2 linked regions of the Drosophila melanogaster genome follow. The gene in region 1 interacts genetically with each later gene. Each region holds a gene or a part of one and is shown on either strand. Other genes may lie near its edges. The genes, in order: BRWD3 and His3.3B.

Region 1 (4,955 bases):
TTCAGACCGGTCTTCCTTGGCCTTGTCAGCCGAAGAATCTTTTTTGGGGCTCTTCTCCTCCGCCTCCTCCTGGCGGGAATCGATCTCCGGTTCAGCCTCTGGACGCTTTTCGGGTGTCTTCTCGCGTCTGTTAAAAATAATGGGGCTCTTAGCTTTTCGTGGTGGAGCCTCCAATTTCGGGGGATCCTCTTCTGGCTCCTGGTCTACAGACTCCTCCCTCGCGCTCAAGTTCAACAGATCCTCATCATATTCATCGCTTTCATCCCCGATCTCGCCAATCTGGCGTAAATGCTTCTTGGCTGCATGAATTTTCTTTTGGATTTCGGCCAGCTCAGCGAGGTCTTTTTGCCGGTTAACACCGATAGTAGTTGAGATGATCTCAGACACAGCGGGCACATCCAGCGCCCTATTGGCCGATGCATCCTCATCCTCGATGGACTTGCGATTTTTCTTTTTGTGCAGGATCTCGTCTTTGGCACTGAGATCAATGTCCATGGTTTTCTTTGCCTTCTCGAGAAGCTCTTCGGCAAAAACATCCGTGATGGAACTGACAATTGGCATGGCATCTGAGGAACTTGGCTGTGGTTCCGACAGCTCATCTCCGGACTTTCGGTGCGGTCGCTTATCCTTCTTGGATCCTTTTTTGTCCTTCTCCTGACCGCGAGACTTGCGCTTCTTGCTGGAAGCTGAAAAAATTGGAGTTAGTGGGTGCTTAAGTATGATGAGCATATCCATCATACCACTGGATGTGGGGAGTGTGACCTCTTGGAGCTTTTGCAGCACTTCGTGCAGCCAGGTGACAAAGAGGTCAGTTTGATCGCCTAGGAATAGATTCAGCTCGGCGTTCATCTGCTGTTTGGTGCGCTTGTTGGCCACCATGACCATGACGTAGTCCGGCAATTCATCGTCTATAAAACCGGCCGATCCTCCGGTTCCCAGCTCCAGCAGCTTTGCCTTTACGGCGCTCTATTAATGAAGTGCAAAAATATATATAGTATTGGAGTATCCAATCCGAGCGGTATCCATAACGAGTTCATTGATTTTTTTCCAATGACTTACGCGCATCTTCTGACCAATCTCGCTGCCCAGATTGCACTCCATGTTTGCTGGTTTATCTATCGCCTTTTTCGCTGTTTATTCGCCGCGAGCATTTATTATTTACGCTTACTTTGTGGCTACACTCCACTTTTTGTTACATTAGAAAATGGCAAAACCTCCCAAAAAAAAAAAATATCGCAGCTGCTCCGATATTCATAACTAGTGGTGTGCGTTTGACATTAAGGGTATTCACGTTTAATTCACACGTTTTATAATGTATATATCGATTTTCTATAAACATAGCTTTAAAATAATAAATAGTTACAGAAATTTCATTTGAAATTAAAATGGCAAATTAAAAACTTCTGAAATTTAAAAATGCTCCTGGCCATGGCCATGAACTGAAGTGCAACATAACTTCAAAATAATCAACACCAATGGGACAATTTAAAAATATAAAAAGATTTCACTTGTTATTCATTAAATCATAAGTCTAGTTATCAAGAATTTGTGTAGTAGCTATTAAATTACATTCGAAAATTAAAAGCGAATAATTGCAAACAGTTTATTTAATCACATAGCTAAATATAAATTTCATAATAAGCTTAAATTCCAAACCAATGGCTACGAATATGTTTGACTGAGAATTAAAATTCTCAATTTGAAGTAAATATCTTAGATTGTAGAATCCTGCGAAGCATTTCAGTGCATCATCTCAAATTCAAATACGAAAATTGGCTCCTTCGGCTAAGACTCGATACCCATCTTGTGAGCCCCGCCACCAACTATCGATACGCAAAGGCATTTCATTCGGTGGGAATGGCAATCGAGTGTCACACGGGAAGAAGAAGCTGCGAAAAGAATTTTAGAAGAAAGCAACTGCAATTTTGTCATAATCGGAGCTGCAATTCGCAATGAATAATGGAAACTAGACAACCCAGTTCCGGTGATGATCTAAAGCCAGGTGCGTACCGCCCGGTGGCGCAGCGAGTGCGTCCAACGGGGCTACCAAAGGCAGCCCCTTTGACTTTGTGAAATGTGTGTCTGTGTTTCGCTCGCCCTTCGAATCGAATGGCTGCGTTTTTTCGACTGCGTTTCGCCAAGCGAAATTCACGGGCCCCTTTGGCCAGATATATCTGGAATATTGACGACTCCCAGCGAGCGCATTTTCGACAACTTGTTGCACTAAAACCCGTGAAATCCTCTATCTTGCAGAGCTGTACTTCCTCATTTCCAAGTTCCTGGCCGCGGGACCGCTGGAGGAGACGGCGAAGGTGGGTTGAAAGCAGCGCTCGCGCGAGATCGCATTGGAATCGTATTTCGCGCTAAAAGAGCGGAATTTCGTTTTGTTTACAAACATTTACATTAATTCTGAAACTAAATTCTATCCAACTGTAGGTCTTGATCCGGGAACTCGAAGAGAAGAAGGTGAGTTTTGTTGGTGCTGCAGCTGTGTTTTTGGCACAGATATTTCGGACTCGAATTGAGAGGGGGGCCAAAAAAAAAATAGAAAACCGCGTTTGTTTATACGCTTTGTTTTGGTTTTGTTGTTGTTTCTGCTGCCGGCAGCGAACGACGAAAAACCCACTTGTACGTCCGCTTGTCTCAGAGTTGGGAATCAGACTGAATTGTGGATTTGCTGGGGCCACGTGAATATATAGTCCATTAAAAAAAGAAGAGAAAAACATGAAAAAAGAAATGGAATCATAGGGATGCCCCCGCGACGTCATCGTCGACGTCACGGAGTGCAAGTGATAAGAGTCATACATGCATGCATATATATTTACACCCGTCTATATATACGTACACCTTTCGATTCCCAGGTTTTGCCGCGTCGTCTCGATTGGCAGGGAAACGAGCATGAGCAGACCTTTGAGGAATTGGTGAGTGTTTTCATAATTAATCAATTAGCTTTTCAAAGTTATCGTTTAATGCCTTTTGATCGGCATTTAAGTCTTGCGTAAGTGTGCGTCTGCTGCGGCATTTTCCGTCTCAGTCGTTCGCTCGCCTTTGTGACGTCATCGTGTCAGGGAATAGAGAAAAAGTTGCACATCAAAATTCAAGTTGTTAATTTAAAAAACATTACAACTAAAGACATCAATCATTCTGACTGTTAAATTAACAAATAAGTAAGCAACTATTTAATTAAAAAGGCAGCAAAAAATTGCAAAAATTCGTAAAAGACTAAAGTGGAAAGCAAAAATTCTAAAACCCTCGTAAAAATTGTAAATTTTGAAAAATCTTAATTTTTTAAACAAATGCTTTGTAATTTAGTTTTAACAATTAGCTGCAACCAGCCGACATTTTGGTTTCTCACACATACACATGCCCATGCGCACAGACACATGCAAGCAACCACCACTTTGCCTTGACTTGTGCGCGAGGGAACGAGACAAGCATACGTTGTTGAAGCTATCGCACCGTTTATCGCCCAATCGATAGGAATACGTTAAATTTTGATTTTGAATTCGCAGGAACGAAAGTACAAGCACATTGGCGCCAATCACTTGCTTGAAATATGCAGTCGTCTGGGTCCACTGGTGGATCGCGAGCTTCCGCCCAGTGTTCCGGGCATCAACTCGCTGTTGGGTACTGGGCGCCAGAACCTCCTGCGCACCAAGGAAACCGTCTACTGCCATCGCTCCTTAAGGGACTACTGCACCCGCCTGAATGGAGTCTCGCTGCCGGATTCGGTCCTTACAAAGCCGACCCACAACTTAGGTTAGTTGCATGGTAGAGTTTTATTCGCATATTAGAGACTAACCCATTTATATTTCCAAAGATCGCGTTCTAACTGGACGGGAACACGGCGGGGAAGTCCGTCGCAAGCTCCTCGTGCCCACGGACCTCTACCGCCGAACAAAATTGCTCCGTCGCACTGTGGGCCACCTGTCCTCAGTGTACTGTGTTCTGTTTGATCGCACAGGAAGATACATCATCACCGGAGCCGATGATCTACTTATTAAGATATGGTCAGCGGCAGATGGCCGCCTGCTGGCCACTCTGCGAGGCGCCTCATCCGAGATTACAGACATAGCCATTAACTTGGACAATACGATGCTGGCTGCCGGGTCATTGGATCACATACTAAGAGTGTGGGACATGCAAACCACATCACCCATCGCCGTACTGTCTGCTCACACGGGCATGATAACTTCGGTTAACTTTTGTCCGTCGCCACGTAGCGATCTGAAATATCTGGTGACTACCAGCACAGATGGATCGATCGCCTTCTGGCAATACTCAACGCCGCGCGGGCAAAAGATCACGTTTGCCCCGAAGCCAACGCAGTATCATGAGAAACTGCGGCCCGGACAAGCTCAGATGATGTGTACCACCTTTTCGCCAGGAGGCATTTTTCTGGCCGCTGGGTCTGCCGATCACCATGTGCGCGTCTATATGATGGGCGAGGACGGTCCGAAGCGAATATTGGAGACGGAAGCTTACACAGATGCCGTGGACTCGGTGCAGTGGTCGCATCGTGGACTGAGATTTATATCGGGGAGCAAGGACGGCACAGCACACATCTGGACGTTTGAGTCGCAGCAGTGGAAAAGTTCCAAACTATGCATGACGGAGCGTCTGGCCAGGTGAGTGCGATTTTCTTTAAAATGTTTCTAGCTAGTAAGGAATTCTCTGAAAACTAATAGCTTTGTAATTAAATTGCAGCTGCCCGGAACCAGAGGAGGGAAAGAGGCTTAAGGTAACCATGGTGGCTTGGGATGCCTCGGACCGTTATGTCATCACCGCCGTAAACGATTTTACTGTAAGCATCCGTCTTAAAACGTGCTAAACATTTACTTATAATTAATAATCCCATTTAAAAACAGATAAAAATCTGGGACTCGAAGTCAGCCAAGCTGCATCGTGTTCTGCGTGGGCACAAGGATGAGCTTTATGTGCTTGAGTCGAACCCA
Region 2 (6,798 bases), on another chromosome or scaffold:
CGGCAAGGAGGCGGGCAGGCAGGACGCTAGCATATCCGCAATGGGCACCATCTGGTCAAGCACTTGGGCACACTCATTGTAAATGGACAGCGATTCCAGGCATTCGTTTCCGCACGTGCGACAGAAGCTCTCGAATATGTCCATTATGGTTGTTGCTAAGGAATGTTATTCACAATCTAAAATTTGAATTAAAATGTTTTGTTTATAAATTGGCTAGTAAATGTAATCGATTATTAATCAAATCATCGATTTTTTATAATTTCTTGAATTCCTTCTGGTATATTTGTATATATTTTGGCACACCCTACCAGTATTCGGCCACACTGACAGCCAGTCATTTTTTTTTTTCAAGAAAAGCCGGAGAGAATTTTGTGTTTTAGTTGGATAAAATGATGTGGAAGGCTCTCCTGATCGCCGTTTTGGCGATTGCCCACTGCCAGGCGGTACTGGAAACGGACGCCAACACCTTGGTTCTGCTGGACAACCTGGCCATCCGGGAAACCCACTCGATCTTCTTCAAATCGCTGCAGGGTGAGTGAAAATGCCGGTTAACCTCTGACGTGGACAATGAAATGTGTTGATAATTGTTTAACTTTGGGCTACAGATCGCGGATTTAAGCTCACCTACAAACTGGCGGATGACTCCAGCCTGCTGCTGTCCAAATACGGTGAATATCTGTACAAGAACGTCATCATATTCGCACCAAGTGTCGAGGAATTCGGCGGCGATGTGAGCGTGGAGCGTTTGGCCCAGTTCGTCGACGATGGCGGCAATGTTCTGGTGGCGGGCAGCGAGAAATCCGGCGACGCGCTAAGGGAATTCGCCTCCGAGTGCGGCTTCGAGCTGGACGAGGAGAATGCGGCGGTCATTGACCATCTGCACTACGATGTTAGCGATGCTGGCGAGCACACAACCATCCTGACCTCCGCCAAGAATCTTATACAGGCCGACACCATTGTGGGCAAGGCCAACAGGCAGGCGGATGCCGCACCGCTGCTCTATCGCGGTACAGGACTGATTGCCGACAAGGAGAACCCGCTGGTACTCAAGCTGCTGACCGCCGAGAGCACCGCCTATAGCTACAATCCCGAGGCAAGTGTCTCCGACTATCCGCATGCCGTTGGCCGAGGCACGCTGCTAATCGCCGCCCTGCAGGCGAGGAACAATGCCCGCGTAGTGTTCTCCGGCTCGCTGCTCTTCTTCTCTGACGAGAGCTTCACAACGGCCGTGCAGTACGCACAGAGCGGTGTGTTCCACAAGCTGGCCGGTAATCGCGACGTGGCCGAGTCCATTAGCAAGTGGGTATTTGGAGAGACTGGCCGCTTGCGCGTGGCATCCGTGCAACATCACAAGGAGGGCGAGCTGCTGCCACCGGATCAGGCGTACACCATCACCGATCCGGTCGTCTACACCATCGGCATCGAGGAGCTGGTGCAGGGCGAGTGGCGCGCCTTTAAGGCCAGCGACATTCAACTGGAGTTCGTGCGCATCGATCCCTTCGTCCGCACCTATCTGAAGCAAACGAACACGGGCGCCTACCAGGCCAAATTCAAGATACCCGACGTCTACGGCGTTTATCAGTTCAAGGTGGACTACAATCGCGTGGGCTACACGCATCTGTACAGCACCACCCAGGTGTCGGTGCGTCCGCTGGAGCACACACAGTACGAGCGCTTTATCCCGAGCGCATTCCCCTACTACACCAGCGCCTTCTCAATGATGATCGGCGTGTTTGTCTTCTCATTCGTGTTCCTTCACTTCAAGGATGAGCCCGTGGGCAGGGCCGCCAAGGAGGACAAGAAGTCGCAGTAGTATGCACGTTCGTTCAACTCAAATGTAACACACAATGCACTAAAATAAAGTTCTCTGCAGAGAGAAACCCACAATCCATAAAAGAACTTGGCTTTTTTTTTGCTTAATGAAGCTTATATTTCATTAAAATTAGCAGAGTCCAACCCATTAAAACATATTCATTTTTAATCTTAGGTTGGAGTTAAAAAAATTTTAAAAAGTTATAAAAATGTAATTAGCAAAGAACAGAACCAAACTATTTGGCGGGCATGGTCTTGTCAGACAATCGAGTGTAATCGAATACAATCGAAGTAGGCCTTCGCCTACTAGGCTACCATCTCTAGATCTCAACGAAACGAAATCATTGTGAAAATTTCTCTCGTCCGAATTTGTTCGTCTCGTGTTGAAAGTGACAAATTGTGAAGAATAACTTTATTCCGTGTTTAACGGTGAGTTTTTTTTTATTGCTAAATACTTATAATACTAAGTGTGGTTCTTAAAACGCACGTGCTTGTGGCCGCTGAATATGTGCGTGTGTGCACTGTTTTCCAAATTTTTTTTTCGTTGTGAATCGCCTGAGTTTATGTTTTGCCGTTTTTGGGGCTCCGCCGGCCGTCCAGCGGAGCCCTATTTTTCACCGCACACACACAGGCGCATTCTCGCTGGTGGATACATACACAAATACACGAAGATGTGAGAGGTCTCGTATTCGCACGACTGTTGGTTGCATTGTTGTTTTAGTTGTAATGGTGAGGTGCGCTGCTTTTTTTTTTTTTCCAAAATGGCCGCCAAGCAGGAGAATAGCAAGAAATAAAAAAGTTGCAGTCGTTGATGAAATTGGCAAAAAGAAAATTAAAAAAATAAATAAAAACGATTTGCCAATGTGCGAAAACTGGCGCCAAAAAGTATGAGTAATCGTATTTATGCTGGTTGGCATAAACATATAAAAGTTATTTATTTATTTCTTAAGTGGCACGCGCGTTGATGTGTGTGTATACTAAACACGCACATTGGTTAACAAATGCAAATGTGCATGGCTGCGCTTGTCATGCGCAGTGTGTGCCATCTCTCTTTCCCACCGCCAGCTTTTCCCGTATGTTATTGCATAATTGCTTTTTATTTTCTTTTTCCTTTGGCATTCTCTTTTGTGAGGATGTGCAGCTGTCACATCTACACGCACACACATGCTGTTTAGCGGAGAAACGACGCAATTAACTGCTGGCACACCTTTCTTCTCTTTCTAACGCGAACGTGCCCCTATAGGCATCTCCCTTCGACTTGCCGCCTTTCAATGCGCGCCAAGTTTTTACCGCTTGATTTTCCTTCCTTTTGTTTATGTTTACTCTTTTGGCGCTACCAGTCGAAGAATTTTTTTCGTTTTCTTTGGCTTCCTTTTATTTGATATTTTCCTCTTGCCTGCACAAGTAATTATAAATTGAAAACTACAACTCATTACTTCAGCGTGATTGATTCCGCATAAAGCGCGAAAAAAACTCAAGAGGCTGTACATAAAAAGAAGGGGAACACAAAAAACGGCGACTCACGATGTTTGCCCGCGAAGAAAAGAAATGAGATTTTCAAGTGGTCCTCCATCGTGGAACAACTACACAGCGAGAAAAGCAGATGTAATATATCTATACCACCAATTGAGAATTAGATGGTATTCCTATTGCTATTTAGAACGGATAAATTAGGGTTTTTTTATGGACCACCTTTATGAATTATCAGAAATGTTTCTTAAGTTTTTTTAATTATAAGTAATGTGAAAACTTTAGAATCATCTTAGCTAAGCTTCATTTGCACACCAATATAAATATGGATCACACTATTATTTTTCTGAGTGTTTTGCTGCCGAGGCACGATTTATTCCTTTGCCACTGAAGTGGAAGTTTCTCGAGTGCCTCGTTCCCAGAAGATGGGAAAATATTTGAAATGGGGGGCAAGAAGGAAAAGCAGGCAGCTGCCTCAAAAAAATTTCACCTTCAACCCTCGTTATCGTTATGACCACGAACCAAAGTTCCTCGTCAGTTGGCCGCCAGCGCTTCGGCGCTGTGCATCGGTCCAAACTTTGGCTCCCAGCGATATCCATCCGTGTATATCCGTCAAGAGTCCACGACACAGCACAATCGTATCCTGGCCAATTGCATCGTGCACTGCGCCTGTGCTGGACGAATAGTTTAGAGTTTGTGCCCAGTTCATCGAGTTGTCTTTCTCATCTGGCGAGGATCAGCGTGTTTATTTTGGGTACCAACCAAACAATGATTGTAGAAGTGTTTATTTAATCTGTGTCAATCTGGAACGCGCAAAATCTAACATTTGCATTTCCCATTCTCTTAATTGCAGTTTAAAAAAAAAAGCTAAGAAAACATGGCTCGTACTAAGCAGACTGCCCGTAAGTCGACCGGAGGAAAGGCTCCTCGTAAGCAGCTAGCCACCAAGGCTGCCCGTAAATCGGCGCCATCCACCGGCGGAGTGAAGAAGCCCCATCGTTATCGTCCCGGAACTGTGGCTCTTCGTGAGATCCGTCGTTACCAGAAGTCGACCGAGTTGCTCATCCGCAAGCTGCCCTTCCAGCGTCTGGTTCGTGAAATCGCTCAGGATTTCAAGACCGATCTGCGTTTCCAGTCGGCTGCCATCGGTGCCTTGCAGGTGAGAATTATGCTCCAAAGAATCAGAGTGGCTTAACTTAACTAAAAATGACAGGATTCATGGGATTATGAAGGGGGGGCTACTAATATCTAAAAGGAACTTGGTTATCCAACTCATATGAATTTCTCTTGACTTACAGGAAGCATCTGAGGCGTACCTGGTGGGTCTCTTCGAGGACACCAACTTGTGCGCTATCCACGCCAAGCGCGTGACAATCATGCCTAAGGACATCCAGTTGGCGCGCCGCATCCGTGGCGAGCGTGCTTAAGGTGGATCAGCAGGAACGCCAGATTCGATCACTGTCGTCCATTCCCGAACAGTAGACCATTCACGTACCGTTGTAGGAGAGGTGCACGCCAAGGAGCTATACCAGCGACACATTGATCCAATCTATCATTCATATTTACATGTATACATTTATCATCCTTTTGTTGTTCAATCGAATCGTCAGCATGACGTTGTCGATAAGAAAAACACCACACACAAAACAACACACAACATTACTGTAATGCTTAAAAATTATTTTATAACTCTTATTATTACTATTATCAATTAGTTTTTAAGTTTTTTTTCTCGCCTGTGCGTCGTCGGTGTCACCGTGTACGTTGCGCCGTGCTCCTTCTTCTCCAAATCCGGGTCCACCTCTTCGTTTTGGAAGGAGGGAATACCACCGGGCGGCCGTTGTCGCCTGTCCGCCTGCAACATCCGCCACCAACCACTCCAACAACTGTCCAGCTGGCGGGCTTCGGTTTCCAGGTAATCCGTGATCTTTAAGGCGCCTGCCTCGCCTTTATCGCTTCGATCGAGGAGAGGTTCACCATCTGGCTGCCGGGATGTGCGGAGCCTGGAGATCGGGGCCAATCTAACGTCGGCTGGACGTGGCAAGGCGGACAGACGGTTGCGGACCGCCTGGCGGTGATTCCCGGATCTCTGGATGGGCGGCGAGGGCATGGCCGTCTGGCGATGCCACTGACGGCACGCGGCTTTTATGAAGATAATATCCATATATAACACCGAAGACCGAATCGAGTACACTTAACTTTACACTTACGTATATGCATATATATACATAAATACATATATATATAAATATATATATATATATAAATATAAATATAAACCTATGCGGAAGGAAAAGAACTAGATATTAATACTCTTTCTTCTGTTCACTTTTCGTTACTGCAAATCATAATCAGAGCATTATATATATATATATATAGAAGTTATATATATATATATACACATAACGAAGGGATGGGCGTGACAGAGTTAGTTGATTAAATAAGATTTTAGATTTACATGCATTTTATACGTTTAGGCGGACGATAGAAGATGATTCTTCTTCGGGAGATGAAAAAAAGATATAAAGATGATTCAGCAATCAGATTAACTTACACATCTATAGATTTGGAAGAGCATCGAATAAAAATAACCAAGACAGAAATCACATAACAATACAAAATAAAAGCAAAAGCGCCGAGCAGAGCATTGAATATTTCCCAATATTTATATGTAGTTTGAAACACATGCAAAATAATCAATTGTAAACGCCCATAAAACATGCATATATATATATATAAATATACATATAGCTGTAAATTGGTGTCGATAACTAGTTTCACATTGAACATTTAAACAAATCGGACTAAATATGTGTCTATTCGTATCGTCGTAGCTTACAAGAACCAATATGAAAACAGAAAACAAAAAACGAATCCCCCACAAAACACAAAAACAATTTACAACAACAAATCAGTGACAGCAACAGCAAAAATAACTGGAAACATCAGCAAAAAAAAAAAAGAAAATAAAAAATAAACGGTTTTTTCTATAGAAGAAACCAAAAAAACCCAACACCAACGAATTGTATTTTCTGCGAAAGCGAGACGGGAATAGTGTGTACGAGCGGGCGGGATAGGTGGCGATGGTACAGTTGACTCCAAAAATCGAAACCAAACGTCATTTGCTTTGTTTACGTGTGTTAATCTCGGTGCGTGCGTGTGTATGTGTGTTACTCTTGCTCGTTTCTGTGTGTGCAAGTTTGGCTGGCTGCAGCTGTATGTGTGTGGGTGGCTTTGGCGCTGCCCCCTTTTTTTTGTTTGTCTTTGATTTGCGTTTTCAAGGCTGCTATTAACTGGCGCCACCTAGCGGTGGTTCTGTGCCACAGGCGCCCAATAAGTGTTAATAAACCCCTTTGTTCGTAAGCTAAGACGCCCAATAGGGGTTAAGGGCTTATCTTTGTAATTAAATGTTGATATTTATAATAATGTACATTGAAGCAATAATTTATTTAATTTAAGTTACCAATGTTTTCCATCTTTTTGTCAGTGTAAATATCGTTATAACTCAAGCATACC

The links.
Region 2: of BRWD3 (region 1) and His3.3B, changing one suppresses a phenotype caused by changing the other (phenotypic suppression), as found in Drosophila melanogaster (one study listed by BioGRID).

What each region holds. Positions count from the first base shown.
Region 1 is NT_033777.3:24,317,156-24,322,110, forward strand, and holds the start of BRWD3 (BRWD3), read left to right. Parts: upstream 1-1,844; 5' UTR 1,845-1,959; coding exon 1,960-2,002; exon of another isoform or gene 2,003-2,253; coding exon 2,254-2,312; exon of another isoform or gene 2,313-2,436; coding exon 2,437-2,466; exon of another isoform or gene 2,467-2,627; intron 2,628-2,861; coding exon 2,862-2,921; intron 2,922-3,512; coding exon 3,513-3,759; intron 3,760-3,820; coding exon 3,821-4,628; intron 4,629-4,707; coding exon 4,708-4,804; intron 4,805-4,868; coding exon 4,869-4,955. Other genes in the region: Nab2 (nuclear polyadenosine RNA-binding 2), read right to left, coding at 1-686, 741-966, 1,060-1,101.
Region 2 is NC_004354.4:9,152,023-9,158,820, reverse strand, and holds His3.3B (histone H3.3B), read left to right. Parts: upstream 1-2,151; 5' UTR 2,152-2,241; intron 2,242-3,207; exon of another isoform or gene 3,208-3,417; intron 3,418-3,808; exon of another isoform or gene 3,809-4,036; intron 4,037-4,135; 5' UTR 4,136-4,159; coding exon 4,160-4,441; intron 4,442-4,580; coding exon 4,581-4,709; 3' UTR 4,710-6,298; downstream 6,299-6,798. Other genes in the region: Dlip1 (dorsal interacting protein 1), read right to left, coding at 1-144; Ost48 (oligosaccharyltransferase 48kD subunit), read left to right, coding at 390-531, 606-1,813.